Coturnix japonica: one gene and its partner. Each later gene encodes a partner of the first gene's protein in a complex. Links are inferred from orthologs where the notes say so. Each region holds a gene or a part of one and is shown on either strand. Other genes may lie near its edges.

Evidence for each region.
Region 2: the proteins of YWHAZ (region 1) and SOS1 are in contact, whole or in part, in a crystal structure (PDB 6F08), measured with the Homo sapiens proteins. The link is inferred for Coturnix japonica from reciprocal best matches to the Homo sapiens genes YWHAZ and SOS1. Residues at the interface, in NP_001129171.1 of Homo sapiens: Glu14, Asn38, Asn42, Ser45, Val46, Lys49, Arg56, Arg60, Phe117, Lys120, Arg127, Tyr128, Ile166, Gly169, Leu172, Asn173, Val176, Glu180, Asp213, Leu216, Ile217, Leu220, Asp223, Asn224, Leu227, Trp228; in NP_005624.2 of Homo sapiens: Arg1157, Arg1158, Pro1159, Glu1160, Ser1161, Ala1162, Pro1163, Ala1164, Glu1165, Ser1166.

The regions. Positions count from the first base shown.
Region 1 is NC_029517.1:116,478,742-116,482,394, forward strand, and holds part of YWHAZ (14-3-3 protein zeta/delta), read right to left. Parts: intron 1,024-3,653; coding exon 900-1,023; intron 1-899.
Region 2 is NC_029518.1:14,465,073-14,468,725, forward strand, and holds part of SOS1 (son of sevenless homolog 1), read right to left. Parts: intron 3,475-3,653; coding exon 3,210-3,474; intron 2,143-3,209; coding exon 2,024-2,142; intron 753-2,023; coding exon 258-752; 3' UTR 1-257.

The sequences.
Region 1 (3,653 bases):
GAATAAAAATGAAGCTTAAAGTTACATTAAACAAAGATTTTACAGTCAGTAACTATCCTTATGAGAGTGTACCTTCTAGTTTGTAAATGAGAGATTACTGAACAAAAATACATCTGCTATGGTACACAGTAACACATTTATTTATTACACATGTGGTTCTGCAGTCACCAAGACTAGGTCAGCTTGCATGCAGCAAACACTAGAAGTCAAATCAAACACTGTTTATTAAGTCTTATCTTACTCGTCTTCATTACTATCCAGCAGACTGTGGAGACTGGCTCCAGGAAACAGCTTGGAGTTTGCTGTGAACAGTGCTATCTAAATGTAATAGATTCTCCTGAACTGAAGATGACTGCACAAAGACAAGGTGTTATTTAGGTGCCTCTTCAATACACTAGGTGGCTTAATGGCTGCAGTTAAGTACATTATTTTAACTTTACTTACCAAACACGAGTAAAGGCAACTTACCTGCTATGAGGACAAGCTACATGAGAAATTTAGGAAATAAAAACCATTTAGAAATCAAACTACCGTGGTTATGGAAAAAAATTACTGAACATCTGTTTCATTAATCCTTTCCTTCCCCAGGTGTATTCTAGTCTCCCTGCTCACTAAACTTATACAGACGTTCTTATGTGCTGCAGAAACGCAGGAGAACTAGCACTAAAGCACTTCAGAAAGCTACAGTGACTCCCTACGAAGAGGTAAAAACAGTACTCAGAGAGCCAGGAAAAAAAGCATTAACTGGTATGTCAGCGATAAGGCACATTCTTGTATGCATACACTGGATCTGATTTCAAGATTCTGTGACTGCAGAATCTGAAAAAGAAGTATTCCAAAAGTTACTGTAGCGTTGCTGTCCACTAAACTGACCAAAGATTTAGCGACAATTGACATACCTTTCTTGTCATCTCCAGCAGCAACCTCAGCCAAGTAACGGTAATAATCACCTTTCATTTTCAAATAGAAAACTTTGCTTTCTGCTTGCGAAGCATTAGGGATCAAGAACTTTTCCAACAGAGACTAAAAGAGAAGCAAAGAACAGCGTTTTGAACATGCATACTTTCATAGCTTTTGAACCAACAGTTTGATTATGCTACCATCTATTTCAAAGTCAAGACAAAAATAGGCAGAAGTAAAGCTGTCACATCCTACATAGCGTATTCGGCTAAGGAAAAAATGTGTTCTGGATCATAATTCTGGGTACTAAAAGGAACGATCCATGCTGTGACTCTATAGGGAGAACAGGAAAGAAGTCTGTTCATTTAGCAGATGAATGCTGAAGGGCCAGAGGAACGGTTTGTGTAGGCCCTGACAAAAATAATGTCATCCAAAGAGTCTGGGCAGAGCGTACACAATGGAATGAAGTCAGCATCCACAGATGATAAAAGGACTCAAAATATCAGCTGCCAAATCAGAGACCCAAATACCTTACATACACAGGCAATGGGAACTAGGCCAGGCTAATGAGGTTGTGGGTTTTTTTAATTAGTGTTAAGTGGAACTCTACATTTGGATCACCAAAGAGAAACTGCACAGTGAATCTGGATTCCTGCCTTTCTAGACAGTTGAATCAACAGCTGCTCAGCTGTGTGACTACATGCTGCCCATCCCTTCCAAAGCAACGGCAGCTCTCTGGAGTCACCCCACCAAATCCCCCCATATGAGCTGCCAGTTAAGACCAGGTATTTTTCTTTTCTAGATTGTTCTAACTGCTTATTAAATCAGCAATGCAAGTTACCAGCTGAAGCAGTCATGTAATTTAGCAGGAGTTCTATTATGATGAAAAGAAGAAAAAAAAAAAAAAAAAATCACTAGCTCCAACACATTTAGTCAAATTAAGGCACAAGCCTGTCAAACTTCTTGATAGTGAGTTCTTGAAGTCAGACTTTGAAAGAAAAGCCAGTTATTTAAAAACCAGAATAAGTGCAGAAGTGCTGTTGAGTACTCAAAATGAAATTAGAAACTGTTACATAAACTTTGCTAAGGCTATGTAACAATTTAATGTTTTATTTTTCTCTAAGAATTTTTGGATGTCTTCCCCCTCACCCCCCACTTCCAATTAGATGAATGACATTTCAGTTTCGCTGTTTTCAGCTCATCTTTCCAATGACACCACAGAAACGCGTGATGTAATGCAGGTCAAGCCCACAGAATTATGGCCACCTTACAGTGCTTCCTTGCAGATAGCAACCTCTGTGTTAACTGCATGTCTCCTGTATTCCTATTCACAACAGGAATACGGCACCACTGTGTCCCAATGGCACCTGTGGCACGGCTTTGGCCAATAAGCCAGCTGACATCAAGCTACAGAAAACTCAGTCAGAGACAGGAAGAAAAAGAGTGAACAAGTTTAAATATTGCTAATTTATTTATACAGATCATGAATATTTAGTCTAGTAGACTCAAACTTGTGAAAACTGTCAAAGTGAAGTGACCTATTGTAGTAGATCTCTGTCAGCAGACAGGGTAATGAAGAAGTTAGGCTGCCAGAAACAGGAGTTAGACAAGGTTCAGCCACACTTACGCTCCAGTTAGATTAAAATAACCCATACTAAGTGGGCTTCATTTGTTTCAACATAACGGGGGAAAGAGACATCTTTACTAATTGCTATTTCCTGCATGGCCAGGGCTGGCCTATAATCTCACTTTATAACAATGCAAGGATACATCAAGAAATACCACGCTCTTGCTTCCTGTTGGAGTGACAGCAGAGATGATCCTTTGGTAGCAAAGGGAACGTAACACAATCAAGGCAGCAGCAGCACAGTCACACAGCCAAACAGGCTGCCCAGCTGCCAGAGGCATCATTCTGGAAGGCACAAGCTATACCAGGAGGGCTTGGTGCCACTGCTGCCACAGCACTACTGGCACAAGCAGAGGGCTGCCAAGTACACAAGGCACACATTGGCCCTCTGTAACTACTTACAGCTCTGCTCTTACCCTTATGGAACTCCAGCATTCACAGCTATGATACTTATCGTCCTTGCCAAGACGGTGACTTCAGTGACAACTGAAGGGTTTTTTTACTACTGAGAGTAAGTCTTTTATAATTAGGCTGTCTCTGTAGGACTGCAATTAAGGCAGTTGCAGACTGCACCCACCACCCTCCCAGCACTGTGGGGAGCTGCCCTCCTTCCGTACACTCCATTAATTGGCCTGATCAAGGTATTTGCACTGATCAAGAAACAAATTCTCCATTTCTAAAGGAAGCTGACTGAAGAGAACAGCTCTGCCCAGTCCCACTGCAGCAACCAGCTTTCCAGACCTGAACTTCACTTAAGTCTCAAGTGAGTTAACCATACAAGTAGACATGGAGGAGAAAAAGCTATCAGTTAAGTCTTAATCATCAGATAGATGCTAGCAGGGCAATAGCTGCTTGGAGAATAAGAATCCTAGCAAAAAGTGTTCTAAGCCAACATTGAAGACTGCTGAGCTAGGAAAAACCCATTGAACAGTTGTTCATTCACACAGCATAACCTATGTCAAGTTTAACTCCTGGACTGCACATGCAGCCCATTCTTATCTGGATGAAGGAAGTCTCTTCTACCTTGATACCAGGTAGGACTGGTAGGTCACATACCTTCATGAGCATGCTGAATTCAAAGATCACTGAAAGATCCTTCTCCTACTATTTATCTATTAGGATTTAG
Region 2 (3,653 bases), on another chromosome or scaffold:
CTGGTACAATCAGTTGTCCAATTATCTTAGAACAATGTCCTGCATACTAAAACAAGAACAGCGAATTAACCAGTTCTTCCACTCGAATGTCTGTTTTTGCAATTCCATTTCTGTACACTGCATTTCCAATTTACTGGAGAGTTTTTAGTGTTTGGCATATACACATCCCAACTCCTTGGCACCACCAGGTTCAGTGCATCCATTGCCAGCAACAGACGTAGCACCAGGAAAACGCAGCTCCCAGCGCAGGGGACAGTTCAGGAGGAGTGGGCATTCTGCAGCAAGGGCGGTCCGTCTCGATGCATCGATGGGTGTGTGTGCTCCCTTTTGTAAGTTTTTGGAGGAAGCTTTGGGATATGTTGAGAAGTGCTTTGTCGTGGAGGAACAGGTGGTCCAGCGACAGGATGGAGGTCCACATCTTGTTGTATCAAAGGTGGTGATGGAAGATGCCTCCGTGCTACATGTGGAGAAGGTGTCTGAGGGGGAGGGGGAGTAAATGGAGAGGGACTGTTTGGGAAAAAGGTGTTACCGAGTTCGCTTTTTCTCCCCAGTGGTGGAGGCTGGAGGTGTAGTGGTGAGCTAGAGAAAACATCTGGAGTTCGCACAGGTTCTCGTGGTGGTAACACAGGAGGGCTTTCAGGGGGGTCAGAGATGCAGGTCCGGTCAGGCACCGAGTACCTTGGTGAATACACTTTAGAGGTTGGTTGCCTAGGAGGGATTGCTGGCGGGCTGTCCAGGTGCGCAGAAGTAATCTGAGGTACACAAACATTTCATTTAATAAGAGTTTTAGAGTGGCAAAGAACAAGACCCTGCTGTGAAATGGAATTCCTATCCTGCTGACTGATCTTTCCACTTCAGCAGAAGACACAGCAAGCCAAGTGCAGAATGAAGATGGGGAGTAGCGAAGCAATGCCCAGGAAAATATGTTTCTCAGCACAGTGCATGTAGAAAGGACAAGCAGACTGGATGTGTACCAGAGTAAGAGCATGGGCATATCAATAATGAGTTAACAGGCAGGGATGCAGGGAGTGAAGATGCATGGAAAGGGAAAAAGGCAAGCCAAGGAGTGATCGGAGCAACATGCTGGTTCCAGATCTGCCTGCTGGGTAGGTCTAGGTATCTTCTACTGCCTTCCCAGTAACAGGTACCAATGACAGATAATAGGACCATGTATTTCTCCAAGAAAATGAGCAATAAAGAGGGGCAATGGTGCTGAACAGAGGAAAAAATACACTACACTCAGAAACTGGAGCTAAGTAGAATTATTGAAGTGAATGGTTCCCAAGCTGCAGTCCACAGTGACAAGGTAATTGGTCACACCACCACACTAACATATCTATAACGTTTCCAACTGAATTTTGATAGGATTGTGACACACTGAAGTCTGTTGGCTGACAGCACAGTGACCTACAGTCTGAAAAGGACATCATGTTTAGTGATATATGAAAGCTCTCTTGAAAGTCAGAAGACATATGCTACAATGTAATTTTGAGTGGGATCCTCAAATCTATCCAATTCTCTAGTCATCAATCAATTCCCACTGAAATCAAGAGAAATATAACACTGTCTAAAATAAAAGCTAGACTTGCTCGCAAATGCAAAAGGCAAAAAGTAGCAATGGCTCAAGCAGGCAGGAAAACAGGACGGGCAATCAACAATGAAAGCAATGAGCAGCACAGCATCCAGTGTCAAATACTGTAATGAGTTATTTCAGGGGACTAAGGAGTGTTCATCACATTCCATCATTACTGTTCTTCAATTCTTTACCCTAAATCATACAACCCAAAACAATCTTCTACAACAATTACTGCAGACAGAAACATCTTTAAGTTCTCAGAAGGACCTAATCACAGCAAATGAGCAGGCAGATGGTGAAGCTGGGCAGGCCTGAAATACATGGTTGCTTACTGTTTCACAAATAGATGTTCAAAAAAAATGTATGTATTATCTTTAAAAGTTTCTTTTTCCTATAATACTCTCCTCTTTTCTCTTATAAAAAACACCCTTTTTAGCTGTAACTTACTTTTGATGGGGAGGATTCAGCTGGGGCAGACTCTGGTCGTCTTCGTGGAGGAACTGGTGGGGGAACGTGAGCTTCATCTGAAGTTTTGGTAAAGCTTATGGATGACACAGAAGCAGATCCTAGTGAACACAGAGTGAAAAATCTCAATAATGAGTTTTTGTTCAATATAGAGTATTTCCTCTAGCATGCTAATAAAGGTGTCATTAACAGCAGCGTACCTTTACTTTAGTAAAATACTTGCTCATAAAATGCAGCATGAAGAAGGTATTAAGGAAATATACCACTGAACAACCATCAAACTTGAAGATTCCAAACTGCTTTTCTGAACTGCAATAAACTCAGTGGCCATTAATTCTCACTTTTGTAAGTAATCCGCTAGATCAAAACCCACATCACAAAGCTGTTCTCATATCACAGCAGCACTAAAACCACATCCTGAACTTGCAGCTTATGTGTCAATCCAACAATGAAGAAATATCTTATGAAGAAACAATCAGGAAGCCATCTTGGACCCTCAGCAATGCCACTGCACTGCTAAGCAACTACAGCTTTTATCAAGTTAGTTCACCTCTTTGTGGCAACCTGCTCAAAATGGGACTAACCCTGTATTTCCTTTGCATGCCCTTTACATTACAGGGCACTGCGTCCTGTAAAAATTATTGAAAGCACACAATAAAATATGAGCTTCCATGCATGCTGATGAAGACAGAAGAAAAATAGTGTAATAGGTCTTGACTGATTTAAAGCAGGACAACACAGACTAAGTTATTGAGGAAAAACACTCGTGTGCCCTGAAGCTGATTTGTAATGGCAGGCAGCAGATTAAGTCACCTGCAAAACACTCATGTCTATTCTCACTAGTCACCAAACACACTCACCACACACATACCTGGCAGCAAATGCTACAAGTGTTGGTTTGGGACATTCATGAACTAAGGATGATGCATCTTTGGCCTTCTGCTTTAACAGCTTCTCCAAAGACACGCAATACCCAAAATGCCCAATTCTGTTCAATTTCTCCCTCTACAACAAGAACCACTAATAAAAATGTAGTAAAATGTACTCAAAATTTTTCCTGCTACAAGGAGACAAAAATTGACTATGTTGCTATAGTCACTTAGCATGGTTTTACCTGTTTAAGATCACAAAATCTAATATACAGCCTTTGTACACTATTACCACCTACTTGCATGAAAGGGACTTGAAGGATCTGAGTCAAACACACTGCAAGCATCTGTAGTACTTGAAGTAGCAGAAGCGGGGGGTGGGGTCAGAGGCGTTCGTGGAGAGTTTGGTGCAGATGCTGTAGTTTCTGTCTCACTCTCTGGGATGCGGCTGTAACTAATTTTTCTTGGTTCCTGTTGCAGGGGTGTGGGGTGTCTCATGGTGCCTGGCCTTGGATTAGATGGCCGAACACCTGGGGACTTGAGAGGATAGCTGTACTTTTTGGGCTGAAATAACAAAAAAAGACAAAAATGTATCAAACAAAAAAACTCAAAACACACACACACTAATAATCACCAAAGTATAGTTTTGCACTTATGAAGTTAGAGATTGAAGATCACCTCTATCTGAGAAAGACAGATGTAAGCATTTTTGGGGAGAACATGAGAAAGAATACAAATACTAA